Danio rerio: one gene and its partner. The protein of the gene in region 1 interacts with the protein of each later gene in a biochemical or structural test. Links are inferred from orthologs where the notes say so. Each region holds a gene or a part of one and is shown on either strand. Other genes may lie near its edges. The genes, in order: tcerg1a and sf1.

Region 1 (4,451 bases):
ATATCCTGACAACCATTTATAATGGCCAATATATGGACTAATCACACAACACATGAACACCACCTCAATCATTTTTGGTGATGTAATATATATATATATATATATATATCGCCATACCTAAAAACATCTGAGCTGATGTGCAACATCTCTATCTCTATTGGAGGAGCCAGCATGGTTAAATACACTGTAGTATTTCCTATAATAGTATATTTATATGTGGGTGTCTGACGACTGAAAACAGATCTGGCAGCAGATATCACAGCCTCTGTTTCTCTTCATCTTGCACTTTTCTTGTTATCTTTATTATTATTTATTTAGGATGTGTTTTCACATTCTGACTCCAATGTCTGATTATTAAATCATTAAAATGACAATAATTAAATGAAATATTCTTAAGAATAAAGTATGATGTGTTTTTTGGAAGAGTGCACTTGCGTTGTGATGATATTATATTGTCTGGCATTATATACCAGACACTGCGATATCGATGCTGAAACTAACTCAGCAGGTAAAGGGGCAGATCACACAAAAATCAACATTTACTCACTATTTACTCTCCCTCAAGTGCTTATAAACCTTCATGAGTTTCTGTATGCTGTTCAGCACTAAAGAAGATATTCTGAAGAATGTTGTAAACCAGTAACTAATGGCATCCACAGCAGAAAAACAAATATGGAGGTCGATGGTTACCAGTTTACTTCATTTTTCTACATATGAAGAAACTTTAAGAATTGAATTAGGCCTGTGCAATATGCTGATATATGCAGAAAAGGTTTTATATTATGTGCTATTCTTTATGTCATGATATACATTGGTTACAGTAATACAATTTAATAATTTACATGAGTGAAATATGACCCTTAATTACAGGGATGCAGACAGAAAGGCGAATAACAGCATCATCAGAAGGCTGCAGTCTTGAAAGTTTGCATTTTATGTAGACAAATCTTTTGTTTTTATGTTGGAGCTGTAATCATTCGTTTATCACAATACTTGTGATATATCATACAACAAAAAACAGATATCATGACAGGCCTATATATATATATATATATATGAGCAATTCCAGTGTTATGGATGTGACATTTGCAGTAAAAACTCAAAACATAAACTCACAGTGAAAGCACATGATAACATTATACTGAAACAGCCGTTTATATTTTCCAGAACAACTGGCCACAGAGTTAAGGGAGCAGAAATGATCAATCTGTAGACATGTTTTATACTTTAAATGAGGAAAATAAACATGCGTTATGGATGCGAGCAAAAAAACGTCTGCATACAACATGCTTTGTAGAAATTCTGTCAATTAATCTGCACAACCCAAAAGAAACAATGCTAATCTTAAGGAGAAGAGTCGCTCACTGTAGAATAAACATGATTGATTTTATTTATTTAATATTTTCACATTTAAGAGAAAAAAAGTGTCATTATGGATGTGACAAATGTGAAGTTGCCACTTGTATGACTTTGCTAAATCAAATAGATTAGTTTGTACTGTAAAATACTTGTCCAAAAAAAAAAAAAAAAACGGTTTCGGTATTTTGAGGAAAACTTAATTTTCTTCATGGCAAGGTTGACATTTGCACGGAATTGCTCGTATATATATATATATATATATATATATATATATATATATATATATATATATATATATATATATATATATATATATATGTATATATATATATATATATATATATATATATATATATATATATATATATATATATATATATATATATATTTGGCATGGGACGACTCAAGGTATACCATGGTTTGGGAAAGTCAAGGTTTTAAAACCATGAAAATTTTCCGCTATCCCGTTCCTAAGGTATAAATAAGATTTCTTTTTTTTTTTTATTAATTTTTGTTTTGTTTTTAAGGACAGCAGTATCTCCAGCAGAAAATATAATCAAAGATTCTGTTTTAAACTGGAAAAATATTAGTGTTTATAAAAAAACAAAGACTGCAGAAGTGAATGATTCATTAAAATGATTTAGCCTGACATGTTTACTGCTCTAAAATATTTTAAATGTTTCCCAAAATAGAATATATATATTAAAAAAGGAAAAAAAAGTTTAGTTTTTTAACCAGAGATTTAAAAAGTAAATATTTCAGAGCAGTGAGCACAATAACATGATACTGTGAAACCGTGATATTTATGTCCAAGGTTATCATACGGTCAGAAACTAATACCAGCCCATGCCTGATACATATCACCATAAACATGACAGGCAGCGAGTCATATCATAGCATCATGTGCAGCTCTACTGTAGCACTGAGGAAAAATTACTTAAATCAAATAATTGTTGTTAGGAAACTGGCAATGTGACAATTAAAAAAAACACAAGTGGCTCAAGGAACATGTCCATGTGTTGAAGGAAATCCTGCATATCCCAAAAGCGTCAACAACTCATTTTCAGCCAAAAGCAAAGTTCCAGCCTTTTCACAGCACATCACCTGCATTAAAACACCGTAACGCGACACTGTAATCCGTTACTTTCGAGAGAAACTCTCCCCAACACTGTTAATAACAGATACACACACACCATAAACACGCTGAAGACGAGCAGAACACACACTTTAACCCCAGATACTGATGATGGAGGAGTGTCTGCACTGACTCCTGCATTGCTGAAGGTGTTCATTACAGTACACCTGAATCTGAAGCACTGACTCCATCATAAACACACTGTCCAGCTGATCTCACAGCCACATCACACCCTCTACACACTGACAGGGTTATTTCTGAGACTCGGTGTGTGTCCTCAAGCTCTTATTCTCGGCGGAAACTGCGATATAAACACAGTGAGGCGACTGCTGCTGTGCTGCTTTCATTGTCCACCCTCCGACGGGCCAGACGAGGCTAAAACCCACTCAAATCTGCCTTATTGGAGACGAAGCCCAGAGGAGTTTCGGGATAAACTAAGGCGAATGATAACCGGGGGTCTGTGTTTATCTGAGAGGGAAAAATAAAGCGAAAACTGCACCTGTTTGCAGCCAGGCCGATGCCTTCTGCCTCTGTGTGCTCCGCCATAACGGAAATGCCACAAAAGTCCCCATTTCCCGCTCAGCGGTTTTCAAACTTCTGAAACATCGTGACTTTTATTTCCAGTATGAATTATTTAACTTAACTGGTAAAAAATATGCATTTTTCGGTATAGTCCAGTAACTTGGCCAACAGTTTTGGTTACCAGAACGTTCCTATTTAGTTAAAGTTATTTTAGTTATAGTTTTAGTTTAATTAGTCCCAAAAATAACCTAAATTAAAGGGGAAGATTTGTGTTAGCTGGAATGTTAGCACGTTCTCCCTCTCTTTATCCAGTTTTTGATTTATTGATTGTTTTTACGATTTAATTATATTTCGTTTTTAAAAACAATCAAAGACTAAATATTAATAAATGGGGTAGATCTCCTTAAAATAAATCCTGCCATCACTTACTCAACCGTTAACGTTACATGTCCCAAACCGGTTTAATTCCATGTCTCAGTTGAACACAAGTTATTTAAGCGTTGGAAACCAGTAACGTTAACTGTTGACTTCAATAGAATTTATTTTCTTATAATGGATGTCGATGGTTACCGGTGTCGAATGATATTAAGAATGCTTTTAGAAAAATCTTTATAATATATTTCTGTTGTGGACATAAAGGGTTGGAGAGGTTTTAATGAGTTAATTTGTATAGGATAAGAGTCCCCGTGCCGGAAGTGCTCAGACACGTGTGTTTGTGTGTGTTTTCCGCTCCTCCATCATGGACTCCTCAGTGCACACTAGTCTGCTGGAGAGGATAGGAGATGTGGTTCTTCCAGGCGATCTGCTGTTCTCCTTCAGTCCTCCTGAAGCCGGAGACGCGAACCCGAAAGCGGACAGGCTGATCTGCGGCCCGGGGCTGCGGCGGAGCGGAGCGGAGATCCGTGTGTGTAGAGCAGGAGTCCTGAAACACAAACAACCCAACATGTACTGGGTCAACTGTCAGCAGAGACGGGTCAGAACACACACACACACAACATGTGCCAGCACACACTATTGTTCAGAAAATTCACTAACACACACTACAGGGCAGAAAACACACAATAACACACGCTACTAGCCATAACACACAACCTAACACACACTACTAGCCAGAACACACAATACCACACACTACTGGGCAGAAAACACACAATAACACACACTACTAGGCAGAACACACAACCTAACACACACTACTAGCCATAACACACAACCTAACACACACTACTGGACAGAACACACAATAACACACACTACTGGGCAGAAAACACACAATAACACACACTACTAGGCAGAACACACAACCTAACACACACTACTAGCCATAACACACAACCTAACACACACTACTGGACAGAACACACAATAACACACACTACTGGGCAGAAAACACTCAATAACACACAATACTGGGCAGAAAACACTCAATAACACA
Region 2 (4,303 bases), on another chromosome or scaffold:
AGGTCAAGTAAAGACATTTGATCCTCTGTAGTATTTTTTCTGAAACACTGAAAGCCCGACAGGAATTCTGCAAAGCATACTTCGGTTTAAGCTTGAGTGTATTCTCATGAGCCCATTCCCCAAATAATCAGAAATTCAAGTTTCAAATGTTCAGCCAATTTTAATTTCAGAAACCTGAAGGGATTTCAGCAAATAACAATTTCAGAAAAAGATCATAGCAACAGGCTTTCCATTTTATGCCACCAACTCTGAGAAGTAAAATTCACATTATGCATATCCTTAAAAACATTAGTTCACATGAGCTAAAAAGGTGGCAAAAACATGAAGGCCTGTCGAGGGGGGAAAAAAAGTTGTGTTTGAAGAAATCAAAAAACATATTGGCTAAATGGCTTGAGCAAATGCATCCTCATATAAAAAGTTATAGAATAACACCAGCGTAATGAAATTAAATTACTATGTTAAAAAAATAGTCATTAACACTGGGTGTGAAAAGCCAATACATAAACAATTACATTCAACACTCAAGTTATTGACACGTCAGCAACTTACCAGTAGTTACAAACACTACTCAATTAAGTAAAATCCAATATTTATAAATAAGTTCTAAGACAAACAGATCAGCCTTTAGCAGGTCGTTTTATCATGCAATTTATTTTACTAAGGCCTCAAGCCACGCCAACCAAATCAGCCTGTACAAACCCAAAGACTGACCTGTAACCAACCAAATTACTGCATCACTCATGGAAGCATTTCATGGGCTTTCACATGCATTTCTCTATGACATGCTTAAGAGAATCGGACCCCACATTGAATGGTGCAGGTTGATGGTGGGTAAGAGACATGAGGTGTCAGTTGTCAAAAGGAGGAGTAGTTAAAGAGATGTAGGTCTAGGTCACATTATAGTCGAAACAAACACTACACCACATGCTACTGCAAAACAAGTGCCTGACAGCAATGAGAAAGCAATTTACTACACACTGCTTTCAGACACAAGGGGATGGAGATGACTTTAGCAATTCAGTATCGGACCTGCATTGCTTTCGCAGTCGAATTGGACGAGACATTTTTTGCATAGTAAACATGAGCAGTGATGGAGTTCTGCAGCTGGAGACAGTTCACAGCAAGCAGCAACATCAGAAAACACAGTGGGTTCTTGCTAATGGACATCAGATGGTATATGCAAACATTGACAGTGCTACCAATACCTCAGTGTGTCCTAAACGAACAAAAATAAATAAATGGCACTCACATTGCACATTGATGGAGTTAGTGCATTCTAGTAAATATGGGGCAAAGTGCTGAATTTCGATGGATTGACTTCTTTGAGAAGACCATTTCTATAAAGTCATTTGAGACATATAGAGATGACCGTTTTGAACTGTTGCTTTAACATAAAGGTTCTTTCACTAATTTGACATCAGTTGTATCAGCAAAGAAGTCAGACTAATGAAATTAAGCAGTTACATCCTTCATGTGATGTGCAAACTGTGAGAAAAAAAATTATAAACAAGTTTTGGGACAAAAAAAAAAAAAGTGACTTGTTTGGGTGTAGACAGAATATTCCCCCGTTCACATACAAAATTATTTGCAACCTAAACTCTATGACTCTGACAGATGTTGTAATAGCAAATTTTAGATATTCACCTATATAAGCTCGTTCTTGGTCCCGAGTCAGCCCAGGAGGGATCACGGTGGGCATGCCCGGGATAACAGTCTTCTGATCAGGGGTCTCGCTGCTCCAGCGACTTCTTTTCCGTTTCTTCTGTCCAAAATCTGACAGGGGATGTAAACAAATTAAGCCATTATGTCTGATTTGTGGATGTCTAAAGCCTGTAAATTAAGACCAAAACTTCACAGAAACGTTCACCATGTCTTTATGATGCAAAATGTTTAATTTATTGAATTATTACACTTTTAAAAAGTAAACATAGGATTTTTTCTTTGATTAAAAAGAAATTATAAATATGAAGAGTTCAGATGCAAAAACCTCTTAAGTGCCGTCTGAAATTTCCATCAATTTTTCACCTTTGCCTCTCTTGTTTATGTTGAAATATTTTACTTTAAAGACCTGGAAAAGGACTTATTCTTTGCCATAAAAGTGATATTACGAAACATACTAATAATTTAAGAAATATTTAAGACAGCATTCTAAGGTTTTTAGCAGTTTAAGCAAGCAGTTTGCTGCTAAATGCCACGTTATATTAACTTAACATCGTTAGCCATATAAACACTGCAATGTAATAAACATCTTTGTTCAGTCTGGGCATGTACATTTGCTGTGTAAAAGCTCCCAACCCTTTTTATACCATATTATGCACTAAACTGAAAAAAAAAAATCTATATTAAAAAAAACAGTGTGCACTTTATTGTCTAATGTTAACACTGCTCGATTTCAAAACAATAGATTTTTCTGCATCATATTTCATTTCAGAGTTCAGTGTTAAATACAACACAATACTTTAACGTGTAACGTTAGATTAAGTTTTGATCCCCCAAATGAACATGTTAAATAATTACACATTCCAAAGATTTTTAATATGCAATGGCATTGTAAAAACAAGTAAGACTATTAATGACGGTAACCAGCCATTCTACTTTTATAAATGGAGGCCGTTGATCCTGAAGGAGTCAAGGCCTGTCCACGGTGTTTACCTCCGCCTCCCGCTTGAGACTGCTGTCCTACTACGATAGGGTTTGAGAGCGCAGAGCTCACGGCTCCGGGAAACTGCGGGAACCCAGGATTTGATAATTGTGGCGGTTGGAAGTTCTGCAGCGGGAAAGGCACCGAAGGCCCAGGCGGAGGCATTAACCCCGGACCGGGGCCAGAGTCAAAGCCTCGCTTAGCGCCGATGCTCGGGTGCAGCTTACCAAGCGGGGTTGCGTTAGCTCCCGTTGCCATTTCTGGGCGTCAGGGGCTTCTTCGTGGTTCGATATCTGCACAGAATGTATCCGTTTCTTTTGTTGATAAATCAATTGATACGAACGCGTGTCTCCGACCACGCAACCTTCTTCTGTCACCCGCTGGATAAGATGGCGTCCGCTGAGATCGACAAAGGAGCTTTGACGTCAATTTAGAAATATCCGATTGGTCGATAGTCGTGTCAATCTGTGTTTGGGGAACATTCATTGGATCATTTAAGGTCTGTCGTGTTTCCGTCGGAGCAATTTACTTACCTCTCATTGGTCGCCAAGCCGGCCATATGTTCCAGGATAGGTTGGCTCTTTCTGTGCGGTGTGGTCAGGTTGTAGCTAGATCAGATACGGTTATGGCTGGCAGACAACGAAAATTACATTTCCCATATTTTATTAGGGCGACAGTGTTTTTTTCACAGTGGTTAGCACTGTCGCCTCACAGCAAGAATGTCACTGGTTCAAGCCCCAGCTTTGGCAGTTGGCCTTTCTGTGTGGAGAAAATGAGTATAAATGAGTGTATGGATGTTTCCCAGTATTGGGTTGCAGCTGGAAGGGCATCCGCTGTGTAAAACATAGGAGCAATTCCATGCAAATGTCAACCTTGCCATAAATAAAAAAGATTTCGACAAAATAGCAAAACTGTTTCTGGGTTTTTGTGCTTTAAAATACTCAAAAATGTCTCCATTAATGTTTTCAAACTATTATATTTGACTTACCAAAATCACATGAGTGGCAATTCCACATCTGTCACATCAATAACGAAGATTTTGCCTAGTAAATGGAAAAATGTCAAATTAAATTAAATCAATCATTTTTGTTTTATAATGAGCCAACTCTTATCCTTTTGATGAGCATTGTTTCTGAGATTTTACTGCAAATGTCACATCCATAACGCTGGAATTGCTAATTTGCTGAATAAGTTGGTGGTTCTGTCCACTGTGGCGACCCCCGATAAATAAAGGGATTAAATGAACCCTTTAGCTCATGAAAATAAATGAACCCTACCCTAACCCTAAATCCAACCGTCACAGTACTGTAAACATGTTAATTATTGGTATACAGTGTCACAAAAAATGATGATATACATATACACAGCTGTATCTTATCTACTCTTACTGTGCAGGTCAGGTTTTGGTAGATACAGTATGTCTATATGAGTGATAAAATTACATTTAAAACTTAGATTTTATTTGTATTATAGTTTATTTTTTTCCCATTTACACTACTGAGTTACATTATATCCTGACCTTGCTAATTATTCTACATTTGTATAATTCGAACCCTTAGAATTAATAACGGGCAAAGGAGTGGCACAGTAGGTAGTGCTGTCGCCTCACAGCAAGAAGGTCTCTGGGTCGCTGGTTCGAACCTCGGCTCAGTTGGCGTTTCA

What was found.
Region 2: the proteins of tcerg1a (region 1) and sf1 form a complex in vitro, tested with the Homo sapiens proteins (3 studies listed by BioGRID). The link is inferred for Danio rerio from reciprocal best matches to the Homo sapiens genes TCERG1 and SF1.

The regions. Positions count from the first base shown.
Region 1 is NC_133189.1:58,547,252-58,551,702, reverse strand, and holds the start of tcerg1a (transcription elongation regulator 1a), read right to left. Parts: upstream 3,050-4,451; 5' UTR 3,041-3,049; coding exon 2,994-3,040; intron 1-2,993. UniProt on the Homo sapiens protein: Transcription factor that binds RNA polymerase II and inhibits the elongation of transcripts from target promoters. Regulates transcription elongation in a TATA box-dependent manner.
Region 2 is NC_133182.1:22,788,564-22,792,866, reverse strand, and holds the start of sf1 (splicing factor 1), read right to left. Parts: upstream 3,036-4,303; 5' UTR 2,900-3,035; coding exon 2,653-2,899; intron 1,774-2,652; coding exon 1,645-1,773; intron 1-1,644. UniProt on the Homo sapiens protein: Necessary for the ATP-dependent first step of spliceosome assembly. Binds to the intron branch point sequence (BPS) 5'-UACUAAC-3' of the pre-mRNA. May act as transcription repressor.